Tamandua tetradactyla: one gene and its partner. The protein of the gene in region 2 purifies or fractionates together with the protein of the main gene of each other region. This does not show direct contact. Links are inferred from orthologs where the notes say so. Each region holds a gene or a part of one and is shown on either strand. Other genes may lie near its edges.

What was found. The genes of interacting proteins can lie anywhere in the genome.
Region 1: the proteins of CTNNA1 (region 2) and CDH5 purify together in Homo sapiens (affinity purification with western blotting; 4 studies listed by BioGRID and IntAct, counting the BioPlex papers as one, with this or other methods). This does not show direct contact. The link is inferred for Tamandua tetradactyla from reciprocal best matches to the Homo sapiens genes CTNNA1 and CDH5.

What each region holds. Positions count from the first base shown.
Region 1 is NC_135342.1:59,934,511-59,940,857, reverse strand, and holds the start of CDH5 (cadherin-5), read right to left. Parts: upstream 4,112-6,347; 5' UTR 4,012-4,111; intron 1-4,011. UniProt on the Homo sapiens protein: Cadherins are calcium-dependent cell adhesion proteins. They preferentially interact with themselves in a homophilic manner in connecting cells; cadherins may thus contribute to the sorting of heterogeneous cell types.
Region 2 is NC_135346.1:18,443,374-18,449,720, forward strand, and holds the start of CTNNA1 (catenin alpha-1), read left to right. Parts: upstream 1-2,628; 5' UTR 2,629-2,761; intron 2,762-6,347. UniProt on the Homo sapiens protein: Associates with the cytoplasmic domain of a variety of cadherins. The association of catenins to cadherins produces a complex which is linked to the actin filament network, and which seems to be of primary importance for cadherins cell-adhesion properties.

The DNA of each region.
Region 1 (6,347 bases), on a different chromosome or scaffold from region 2:
TATGGCCAATCATGCTACTCCCTGCTGACCACTGCCTCCTGATTGCCTACCTCCTACAGGATGACATCTAGCTCCTGAGCCGGTGTTAGAATCCCCCTCCAGCTCTCCTCTCTCTTTCCTGCCTCTTCCAGCCATGAGAAATACTATAAGTTTCTTAAATGCAAAATGATTTCCCTCTCACAGCAGGATTTTGCACAGTCTTTTCCCTCTGTCTGTAACACCCTTCCTTGCTGTATTCCCTGGGCAGATGCTAATTTTTTTTTTCAAGTCACACTTCCTTCTCAATGTCTTCTGATTGACTGCTGTCCCCCAGCATACCCCCTGCCTCCTGGCCTGGGTGTCTGTCTTGTGCCCTTCCAGGGTAGGCAGGACCTGGGGCCTAGTTTCCCCTCTGTCCCAGCATCCAGTGCAGTTACATAACTCAAGACCCCAGACCTTAGGGTGTTAGCATCCCGACTGCTGTCTGTCAACCTGGCTTGGTCTCCACGTCTCATCTTGCCACTGGGTCCTTCCTACCTACTGGATTTAAGAATAAGTCTCCATATTTGTAGACAGCACCTTGTGTGGCCAAAACAGAGTTGCTCCACCCTCTCCCCAAATAGCTCCTCTGTTAGCCCATCACATTGTTAGACACACTGCCATTAGAATTTTGATCCTTTGGGGACAATGAAATTATACTTCTTAAGAGTTCCCGATGAACATGCATATACCCGTGTGCAGGCGGCCTCTAAGATCTGATTGGCAGAACAGCTCATGGATTACCTCTCACCCCTTCCCACACCTGTGACAGACATCACTAATCAATCAGTGTTGGTACCCACTGAACTTATACTCAGTCTCTGAATCTTTCTCAATGCAACTTTAGAGGTAGATTCCATCAATTCATCAGACCTTGTTTGCAATTTGAAATAAATTGTGCCAGGGTCTTTGAGTCCCAGAGGTCATCTAATCCAACCTCCTGTCTCCTAATAGGACAGCTCCTTAGCTTCAAGAGGAGAACACCCATTGTAGCAAGCTCCTCTGGGGCTTTCCTGACTGGGAACCTGTGTTGGGGTTCCTGACTCACCTGCTACACTCCCCACAGGACTGAGAGTTGAGGGATTGGGAGGTGTAACAGAACAACTCCAAAGACTTGCCTATTGGAACTTGTTAATGAGCTGTGTGACCTTGAGTCCTGCCCTTGCCCTCTCTGAACAAGAGACCTCATTTGTGATGGAGGCAACAATAACTGCCTCTCTGGTCAGGAGGACTCAATGAGATCATGCGTGTGAAGCCCAGCTTGCAGTGGGTCCTCAGTAAGTGGGTGATGTCGGGACCCCCGTCTACCTACCCATTCCAGCCTGAGGCCTGCGGGCTCAGCTGGTTGACTCACACCCAACCCTATTTCCTGCTTCTATCCTCACCCACCTCCTACTGCCCTCTGTTCTCCAGAAGGAAACTTCATTCACTTTCTGCCTGTCCCTGTCCCCATGGGCCCCACTTCCTTCTCTTTCCAGCATCTGCACTTGCCTGCATGTGACTGTTACTGCTGTGGCCCAAAGCAAAAAATTTGGGGGTCCCTGAATGAGCTTAGAAACTTTGGGGTCCATCCCTTGCTCTAGAGAGATAGGAAAACTGAGGCCCAGAGTGTGGAAGGGCTGTCCAAGGCCCCATGGCATCTGAAGCTCCTGTTCTTCCTCCAGGCAGCCCTCTGTGATTTCTCCATGTGACACCAGCTTAGGCCTGGGTTGGCATGGTGTTTTGTCATCTCCTTAGCCAGACCCCAAGCCCCTGTGTGCAGACCCAGTCCCCTAGGACATTCCTTCCTCAGCATCGTCAGGTTCCTGGCTCGTCCTCCTGCCTGCTTCTGTGGCCTGAACAATCAGGTTCATGTTTCCCTGACTTTCTTTCTCTTTGAGTTCCATCTGGGAGTGTGGCAATGGCTGTGGGGTCAGAAGGGACAGAGACTCATTTGTGTCCTGCTCCCGCCTTGTACTAGCCGTGTGGCCTCAGACTGTCCCATCTGTCAAATGCAACTTCTTGCAGGCATGCCTGGGGTTGCAGAGAGGTGATGGAAGTAGGAGGGATGGGTCCACCCAGGCAAGAGCCCTGAGAATTTTCCTGGGCTGGTGGCCGCTGTGTCCACTGTGCGTCCCCAGGCCAGCAGCAGAGCTATGAGTCATCCGACTTTGGGAGAAAATACGTATGGCCCCTGCAGCTTCCTGCCTTCATGTCCGGCTCTTGTTCAGCAGCACAATTGGTCAGGTGGAGACCGTAGGCAGCTTAACCCCTTCCCAGGCGGTAGACACTTCTTCCCCATCAGCTGGGATTGGCAGTGCTGTTTGGGGGCTCAGCAGCTCCTTAGACCCTCAGAGGGGCACCTGCTGCCCTCCAGGGTGGGGGTTTACAGGTGAGCTGGGTGCAGGCCGGGCAGAGGAGACACTCATGGCTGCCTGGGCTGGAGGGTGAACCAAAGCTCCTGGTCCTGGCATGTGTGGTCTGCAGTGCCACCAGTCCTGCCTCCTCTCTCCCTGGTCTAAAGAACACTTTGGCTACACCAGACTCCCGAGTCCTCTCAGCGGCCTGGGCTTTCCCGGCTCCCCAGGCATGCCCTTTGTCTCCTGCCAGATCCTATATGCCCAGCACACGCGGCAGGAACCGTGTCCTGCCCTCGCCCCCTCCGGAGGATGAAGGTGGGTGCTGAGTACAGGGCCGGGCATGGAATAGTTGCCCTCCTGAAGTGCCTGCCAAGGAACGGGTGACTGGCCAGCGTCTCACCCGCATCTCCCAGCGACCCCCTTGCCAGGGGCGGGCCTGGGGACCAGTCACGACACCCTGGGCCGTGCCTCAGGTGCCAAAAACACCTTTACAACATTCACAACCATGCCAGCCACCAGCCACGATTCCTTAAAGGTCCCCCTTCTGTGCACTACTCACATGCGGGGGGCTGAGCACCCCATCATTTAACTGACTCCTGAAAAGACTCTTTCCTCCGTTTTACAGAAAACGGACTTGTAGAAGCTACGGGGTGCTGGAAGAAGCCTGAATTTAGGGTTCTAGTTCGAATCCCCCTCCACTTCTTACGTCTCCACAGCTCTGCTGCCTCCACCAAGAAGGCTGATCATAGTAAAATAACGAACCCCATTTCGGTGGGCGTCACCTCTAGTTCTCACAATGGATTGCAACAAGAGTCTGTCTCTCTGTTGTTCAGACAAGCAGACTGAGGTTTGGAGGCTTCAGGTGACTTTCCCGAGGTCCTGGGGGAAGTGAGGGGAAGGCTGAGCTCTGCTCCCAGGTCCACTGTCCCCAAGCTGGGGCCCTGCAGGTCTTCCGGGCCTCCTGGAGAAGTGAGGCCACAGGGCCTCAGGCCCCAGCCCTGGGGATCTGCACTTTGGGGGGGGAGGGGTAGGGGTGGGCGGCTTTCCTGACAGCAGCTCTCATGGCCTGAGGGGACCTCTGTGGCGTTGGGGGCAGGGAGAAACCACAGGTAGGGCCTCAGGAGCTCAGTGCTGAGCCTCGGCTTGCCTATCCTGAAAATAGGGGCACTGGCTAGTAGAGATGGCTGAGGCTTAGAGCTCCCCCTTTGGGGCTCCTTCGCCCATCCTTGTGCAGACCTGAGACCAGTGGGAGGGAGTGAACGGGGCTACAGGCCGAGGTAAATCCTTTCCTGTCGGGGAAGGAAGGGACGGGGAAGCCAGGCCCTGGGTGCCAGTCTTCTACCCTTGGTGTGCCCGGTGACTCGGGGACAGTCCCATTCTCTCTGGGCACCAATAGAACCAGTGGTCTTCGAGGCTCAGTGGGCCCCGGGGACCACGCCGAGCTGGGGAGCCCATCTGTGGGTGGGCTGAATGCGCCCCCCCCCAGCACCTAGAACCGCTGTGTGTACCTGCGGCAGGCACCCTTCCCAGCTGAGCCTGGGGAGGCCCCTTCTGCCCTGGGGGAACCCAGCAGTGTCCATTCCACAGATCGGGAAGCTGAGGAGCCTCCATCCTGGGCTGGGGGTGGGGTGGGGTGCGGGAAGCCCTCACTCACCGTGCCTGGGGGCCGAGCAGGGCCTCTGTTCTGTCTGACCGTCTGTCCTGGGCTGTGTGTGCTGTGGAGCTCGGCCGACCGCCTCTCGAGGGGAGCCACACCCGGCCCGGCGAGGGAGGCCGGGCCGCCGCCCCTTCAGGTTTTCCAGCTGGCCTGGACCCACTTCCCCCTGGGATGGCTTCCTGTTATTGTTCCTTTGTGAGCCGGGGCTGGCTGCAGATAGGCAGGCCCGGCCGGGCTGTCCCCCCGAGGCCGAGCCTGGGACCTGGCTGAGGGAGCTGAACTCAGACCCCCACCTCCAGACTTCAGGCTCCGGAGTCCAAGCACGGCACTTGCCGAGGGCCTGGCCTAACCCTCACTGTCACCCTGAATGCAGGAATCCTCACCCTCGATTTACAGCTCAGCGAGTTTAGGACGCTTGTCCACCTAGCTGGGGTAACGTAGAGCTCCAAATCAAGCTTGAGACTTCTTCTGGGACCTAGGATATGCTGGGGAGCAGGGGAATGAAGAGGGGTGACTCCAGGCAATGGGGAGAGTTCAGGGGCCTCAGGGTTGGGGTGAGTGGGAGGCAGGAAACAGCCACTTTTGGCTCTGGAGAGACCGGTGGGCCCCTGATGGGGATGGGGGTGAGTGCCAGCTCTGAGGCGCCCACCACTGTTGGGGTTTAGTAATATTGGGTGGGAGCCAAGCGTACTGGCTTTGCTTCTGGTGTTCCATGGCCTAGTAGTACCCCTCCCTGAGCCTCAGCTTCCTCATCTGTAAAATGGGCATATATATATATGCCTCAACTTCACAGGTTATTGGGATAAATAAGAATCAGAGCAGGGCTTAGAACATAGTGATGCTGAGGGTGGGAGGGGTGCCTGCCTGGGGCCTGGGGGGTGCAGTGGAGGTCCAGATTCTGTTAGCTGTGAGAGCCATCTGGGGGCTTTTAGAAACCACAGGTACCTAGACCTGCCGCTCCCTCCCCCCAACCAGCTGATCTGGAATCTCCCTGGCCAGGCCCTGGGAATCTGTCCTTGGCCTAGAGGCCCCTGGCTTTCCATAGATGAACGGTGGGAAATCCTGAGCTTGTCCCATCATACAGCTGGATAAACAGAGGCCCTGAGAGGGGGGCCCGGCCCCAGGACTGTATGGAGATGCGGGATGGGCTGAATTGGTGTTTGGGGGCGGGGAGGGGATATAGATTTTTCTGTTCTGGGCATGTTAACTTGAGGATGCTTGTGAGACGTCCCCTGGGAGAGGGCAGGTTGGCAGCTGGATACGCCGGCGGGGTTGGGCCTGGACAGGAGCTCTGGAAGCCTCGGGCTCGCGGCCGGCACCCGGGGCCTGGGAACGCACGCGATTTCGCGGAGAGAGGCTCAGATCGCACGGTCGAGAGGGACCCGCGGGGAAGGTGGAAACGCAGCAGCGGGAAGCTGCCGAGGCCGCGTGGATGGGCGCTGCGGGAAGCGAAGGGCTCAGAGCTGACCGCTGGATTGGAAGATGGAGGTCATCGATGACTTTGACCAGAGCAGTTTGAACGGAAAGAGGTAGGCAAGAGCGAGCGGAGGGGCTAGTGACGGGGGGCGCGGCAGTGAGAGGCCATGATTTCCGCTCCTCCCCCAAGCCTTGCAGTGAGCGGGAGCACGGGCCCGGGAGGTGGGTTTTGTTGTTGTTGAAGCAGAAAGCACGGGCAGCCTGTTTGCGAGCTGAGGGAAGACGGTGACGCTGGAGAGGAAAGAGCCACCTGCTGGAAGGAGAACGGTCCTCGAGGCGGGACTTGGAGTGGGATTCAGTAGGGCCAATCAAACGGTCAATCACTGTTTGTGGAATGAGCAAACAACAGCTCAGCGTTTCCTTCCCCTGCAGGATTAACTCTGCCTTCTCCTGCCTGGAGCGCGGAGTGGTCCCGGAGGAGCCAGGCCAGGCCCGCCGGCGCGCCAGCCTCTCGTGCGCAGCCGGTGCCTGCCCCCACCCCCGCCGCTGCCGCCTGCTGTGGCCCTGGACCGCGTGCCCATGGGGACACGTCTGGCCTGAGCGTCGCCTCCTGCCGGGGCTCAGATTAGGCGCTGCTGGCAGACAGGGACGGCCCGTCCTGGCACTGTCGGCCAATTCCCTTTGTACTCCCTGTCCAGGGGGAAGTTGATCCTGCCCTGAAAACCTGCAGTTCCTGCCAGGAGCAAGGGTATGGCCAGCCTGAAACTTGCCCACTGGACCCAGGGGGATCTGGGTCATGGCAGCCAGGGTAGCCGCGGGAGGGGCCCCCTGAGGATCTCGGCCTGATTCCTGGCACTACCCAGCCCCTGCCCCAACCCTTCTCGAGGCAGAGGAGGTAACGGGAGGGATCAAGGCCA
Region 2 (6,347 bases):
GTAACAGAAACCAGCAGGAGTTAGAAACAGGGTAAGATAATGGGTAATTGGAGCTGAAGGGATACAGACTGTGCAACAGGACTAGGTACAAAAACTCAAAAATGGACAGCACAATAATACCTAATTGTAAAGCAATCATGTTAAAACACTGAATGAAGCTGCATCTGAGCTATAGGTTTTTTTTTTGTCTGTCTGTTTGTTTGTTTGTCTTTTTTCTTTTTTTTTTTACTATTATTATTATTTTTATCTTTTTTCTCTATATTAACATTCTATATCTTTTTCTGTTGTTTTGCTAGTTCTTTTCCTAAATCGATGCAAATGTACTAAGAAATGATGATCATGCATCTATGTGATGATATTAAGAATTACTGATTGCATATGTAGAATGGAATGATTTCTAAATGTTGTGTTAATTTCTTTTTTTTCTTTAATTAAAAAAAAAAAAAGAAAAAAAAAAAAGGAGACTAAAGCTGCAGCCTGGGAGGAAAATCAGAAGCACTTGGTGCCTTGGAGGGGGAGTGAAGAAAGCATTTCAAGGAGGAGAATGAACAAATGCCACTAATGGTACAAGTCAGTTGAGGACTAAGATTGATTACTGGATTTGGCAATGTGGAGGTCATTGGGACCTGGATAAAAGCAGTTACGATGGGGAGGTGAGTGCTAAAGCCTGCCTGGAGTATAGTATAAAGGGTACTTGGTCAGGTCACTGTCCCCCAAACTAGGCTAATTTTCCCCCAAATCTATTTATATCTCCAGCCCCTGGCTTCACACTCTCTCCCACCCCCCTCCATTTTTTTAGTAGTTTACTTGTTTTAACACCTGCCTCCTCCACCACATTTTAAGTTGTGTGAGAACAGAGATCAAGTCAATTTTTTATTCGCTGATGCTTCCTCAGCATGTAGCAAATGCCCAGGACATGGTGAAGGCTCGTTTCCTCCAGGAAGCTTTTTCAGATTTTTTTGGAGATAGGGAACTGACTTCCCTTAGCTTAAGGGACACACTGCAAGTCTCTCATTTGGACCCTTCTTCCCAAACAAACCCTGCACTTTGATCTTCAATTCTAGTTTTATTTATGATGAACTCTCCACCTGGAAGACTTCATTTCTCTCTTTCGAAATCTTATCCATTCTTCAAGATCAATGACAGTCACTCATTCATTCAAGAAACAGTTATCTACCATTTGACTAGTCTCTGCCCTTGAAGAATGTCTCAGTTTGTTGTGGGACCCAGATGTATAAATGCAGGTAGGTAAAATACAGCAAGGGAAGTCAGGGCCCTGCAGTTAGAAAGGCCCCATGCTTAGAAAGACCTGATGCTTGGTTTAATGCTCTACTGTCACCCTCTTGAAATTCTTAATTTGTGCAAGGGACCCCACAAATAAAGTAGCTGGTCCTGAGTGAAGTGAGGGATATACAAAATTATGGAACATAATCCTTTTGCTTTTTCTCTTGATAGGTGAAACAAATATTTATTGATTGATTACCATGTTCTGAGGTAACCAGGTGAAGTGGGGGAAGGCATGGCCACTCCCAGCAGAGGGGACTACTGGAGAAAGACCCTGAAGCCAGAAACAGCCTGCGGTGTAGCAGGACCAGAAGGGCCTTATCAAGATATGCCTTTTGCTTAAATATCTTTCTTTCCTTCCCTCATGATTCTATTGTCCTTTGTCAGCATCTCTTAACTAGCACAAACCCATCATACTTTGAGTTACATTGGGCAGTTTACCCAGACATGTTCACTAGACAGGCATTGTGCTAGAGGACACGGCTTCCATCCTTCCGAAGTTTTCATTCCTTGGAGGAAGAGGGAGATGTTAATAATAGATGGTGAGCATGTTGAGGGTAGGTCTCTCGTACACAGCTTGCTCAGTGCAGAGTCAGCAATGGATATCGTTACTTTCGGATTCAAAGGCCAATGCTGAAATCAACCTTATTCATCATCCCAGGAGGAGAAACATTATCAGGGTTTCCTATCTCAGGTTAATTAGCAAGCTGTAGTCATTTTTGTTGTTGTTTGCTTTGTAGTATTTTCTTTTTAGGAGTATTCACCGTGAAGATAAGGAACATAGGGTGGGAATAAAATCTTCTAAATGGTCAGAGGGATAGGGATAGAATCTAGGTTTCTTAAGTTTATGTCGGTTTCTATTACACTCTGCCTTACACTGCGGGACCTTTACTTAGCCACAGTTTCTCTTTTGGTAAAACCAGAGGGTGGACTCTGAGCACTTTTCTGGGACACTTGTGACGCAGGAGAGCGCTCCCAGGACCCGGAGGCGCCGCGCCCGGTCGTCGGGCCGCGGCCGGGGCGGGGCCTGAGCCTCACCTGTGCGCAGTGCGGTGACTCACCTCCTCCCCCCATCCCCCGCGGGGGCCTTCCAGGAGTCGCTGCTCCTCCTTCCTCTCAGGGTCACTCAGCCTGAGCGCCCACTAGGGGCCTGGGAGAAAGTAACTCTGGGGTGGGGACCGAGAGGAAGAGGTCCCGGCCTGGCCTCGCCAGGCTGTCTTCGCAGTCCGGATCCCTACAAAGCGGGAGTCGGGCAGGGCCAGGAAGCGCGGGCCTGGGGGCGGTGGCGGCGGGAGGCTCCGGGAAGAGCGCGTCGGAGGGAGGCGCCGGGAAGGGCGGGCGGGGCCCGGGCCACGGGGCGGGGGGCGGGGGCGCCTGACGGCCCATTTCCTCTTCGGAGCCGGACGGGAGAGAGACAAAGCGGTGGCCGTCGGCTTCGGGCTTCGGGATCCTCCTGCGCTCGCTCTGCTCGCCCCAGGTAACTCTCTTGGCGCCTCCCTTCGCGCCGGCACGGGCCCCTTGCAGGGGCTCTGGGGGTCCTCGGGCCGGGCCGCCCCTAGCGGGGCCCCGCTGGCGGGTGGGGTGCGGTATCCTCCGCCGCCCTGCCCAGGATTGGGCTCCGGGTGGGGCGCGAGGCCAGTCTCCGGCCTCTGGCCCGCAGCCGCTTTCCCTGCGTGGCCCCCGTACCGCGGCCTGGCCGGGCGGGGCCCGCGCTTCCCGGCCTCGGGAAGTTGAGGGGCCGCCGCGGCCGGAGGAGAGGAAGTCGCAGGCCTCGCGCAGCTCAGCGTATCCTGCCGGAAAAGTTTCTCCCGGTTTCTAAAGTTTGCTGGAGTGGACTCGGTGTGCGCGCCACGCCCGCGCGCGGCCCCCGGGGCCGCCGGCCTGGTAAAGAATGCCGGCGCGCTGTTCCCTGTGCGAGTGTGACCCGGGAGTTGAGTTTTCCAGTGGTGTTTATCCTTTGGTTCTGTGCTTTCTCTGGCCCCACCTCTCCGTCACCGGCCGCTAAAACTCCCCCGACTGTTGAACTGAGAACTTTTGCTGAGACCGCGCACCCTCATTTCCCGCCCCGAACGGATATAAAAGTTTAATTCTCCCTTTCCCTGACACAGTCTTGTTGATAAGGTGCACCACACCCGTGTGGACTTTTGGCGTGTACCGTTTATTGTGAAATTACTCAAGATTTGTGCTGGTCAGTTGGACACACCTAATTCAGATTCGTCCAAGTTTTCAAAAGTGGCATTAGATTCTTGTAGACTTTTAAAGGATCGTGTGTGTGTGTGTGTGTGTGTGTGTGTGTGTGGTGGTGGGGTAGGGGGTGAAGAGGTGGGGAGAAGCACTTGCTGGAAAAAATTTTGACGGAATGCCTAATTTTGGCTTGGCACTAAAGGCTTCCCAGTAATGCAGGCGTCAGTTGGTCCAAATCCAGGATTGACATCCTCTTGTGTCCTCCTGCGGCTTTGTAACATTTCTGCATTTGTTTTGTGTAGAATTTACAATAATTTCGAAAAGGTTGTGTTTTTAAGTCCCCGGTTAATCTAAGGACGTTTCATATTTTTGTTGAAGGAAGTGATTACATCATTGTATTGTGACAGGATAGACGTTTTGATGAGAGGTTGTTTTGTGTTTTACAGTGATTTTTAAAACGATTTGCAGGGCAGGCCACGGTGGCTCAGCAGAGTTCTCGCCTGCCATGCTGGAGACCAGGGTTCGATTCCCGGTGCCTGCCCATGCAAAAAACAAAACAAAATAAAAAAAAACAACAAAACGATATACAGGTGTGTGTTACTTTAAGAAAATGTGAACTTGTAAATTAAATTAATTCAAGTACGTTATTTTGTTTTACAAGAGGAATGAACCGAGGAGCTATCCTTAGCCTCTGCCCAGTTATTTACCCTTCTTGACTTTTATTAAGTTAAATAATTTTCCCCCCTCTTAAAGGGCTTAGGGTTGAATAGGCCATGTTCTCTGTTCCTAAGGGTTCACGGTGTAATATAAGGCAGACTGTGATAACTGCCTTAGCAATAATATTGAGAAACTACTGTGTATAGATAAAATATTATATAATATTTGCAATAAAGGAAGCTTGTGAGGACATGGGGAAGGGTAATTGGTTTTATTTGGAGAAGTCAGGAAAGGCTTCCAGGAAGGGATGAAATATTTGACTGGCCTTTGAAACTTGAGAAGGGTTTTGTCAGCTGAAGAGAGGGAGTGAGAAGCATGAAAGAACACAGGAGTTTGGGAGTATTGTGAGACAGATCTCCTGGTTTTCCTTATACTTTTGGTTACTACTTTTCAGTCTTTTCTTTTTTTAATCCACTTGTACCCAAGGTTTTATCCTGTGCATCTTGGTTTTTTTTTTTTAATTTATTTTGTATTATCAAACCAAAACAACATACAAACATGAACATTCTTAAAATACAAACGTTGCATGTATGGTGTATAATCAGTGGCTCACAGTATCATCTCATATAGTAGTATGTTCATAACCATGATCATTTTTTAGAACATTTGCATCACTCCAGAAAAAGAAATAAAAAGAAAAACTCACCATACCAAACCCTGTATCCTTCCCTTTCATTGACCACTAGTTTTTCCATCTGTTCAACAGATTTTAACCTTTGTCCCCCTATTTTTTTCTAAACCTCTTACCACTCCCTTTCGTTGTTCACTAGTATTTCAATCTACTCAATTTATCTTAACGTTTGTTCTCCCTATTATTTATTTATATTTAATCCATATTTTTTACTCATCTGTCAATATCGTAGATAAAAGGAGCGTCAAATACAAAGTTTTCACAGTCACATAGTCACTTTGTGAAAGCTATATCATGATACGTTCATCTTCAAGAAGCATGGCTGCTGGGACACAGCTCTACATTTTCAGGCACTTCCCTCTAGTCTCTGTAATGCACCTTAAACTAAAAAGGGGATATCTATAAAAGGCATAAGAATAACCTCCAGAGTAACCTCTCGATTCTGTTTGACGTTTCTCAGTCACTGACACTTTGTTTTATCTCATTTTTCTCTCCTCCGTTTAGGTGGAGAAGATTTTCTCAATCCTTGATGCTAAGTCCCAGTGTATTCTAGGATTTCTGTCCCACATTGGCAGGGAGCTTTACACCCCTGGGATTTATGTCCCATGTAGAGAGGGAGAAGGCGGTGAGCTTGCTTGTCATGTTGGCTGAGAGAGAGAGAGACCACATCTGAGCACAAAAGAGGTTTTCTAGGGGTAGATGACTCTTTGGCCTGATTTTAAGTAGGCTTGGTCTATCCTTCATGGGGATAAGTTTCATATGAATAACCCCCAAGATTGAGGGCTTGGCCTATTGATTTGATTGTCCTCACTGCTTGCTAGAATGTCAGGAATTCTCCAAATGGGGAGATTGAATTTTCCCCCTTTCTCACCATTCCCCCAAGGGGACTTTGCAAATACTTTTTTATTTACTGTTAAGATCACTCTTTTTGATTTATCAGGGCATCCTTTTGGACAAACCTACAAAATCTCATGCCCTATTCAAGGTTCCAGTACTTATGGTGTTCAATTAAACTGTCCATATAAGTTATATTAGGAAATGCTGTAGTCAATAAATTTTGTACCATATAAACATTTTTTTCTTTAGTCTCACACATAAGTTGACGTTTTAAAATATGAATGGCCACCTATTTTCGACACCCTGCAATATGGACATTCTTTTGTTCTTCCTCATGTAAAAACATTTTTTAATTTGTACATTTAGTCACTGTCATTATGTGCTCTAGACATTCCTAGGTTATACCATCTCAGTCTTTATCGTCTATCTTTCTTTCTGGCTTCATTTGTGCCACCAGCCCACCTCCCTCTATCATTCTCACATTCAGCTTCATTGACTGTACTAACATTATTGGGCTACAATTAGGTAGTACTGTGCTATCCATTTCTGAATTTTTAGTCAGTTCTGTTGCACAGTCTGTATCCCTTCAGCTCTCATTACCCAAAATCTTCCCTATTTCTATCTCTTGATGGCCTCTGTTCTTAACTGAAATTCTCCAAGTTCATTCATTAATGTTAGTTCATATCAGTGGGAC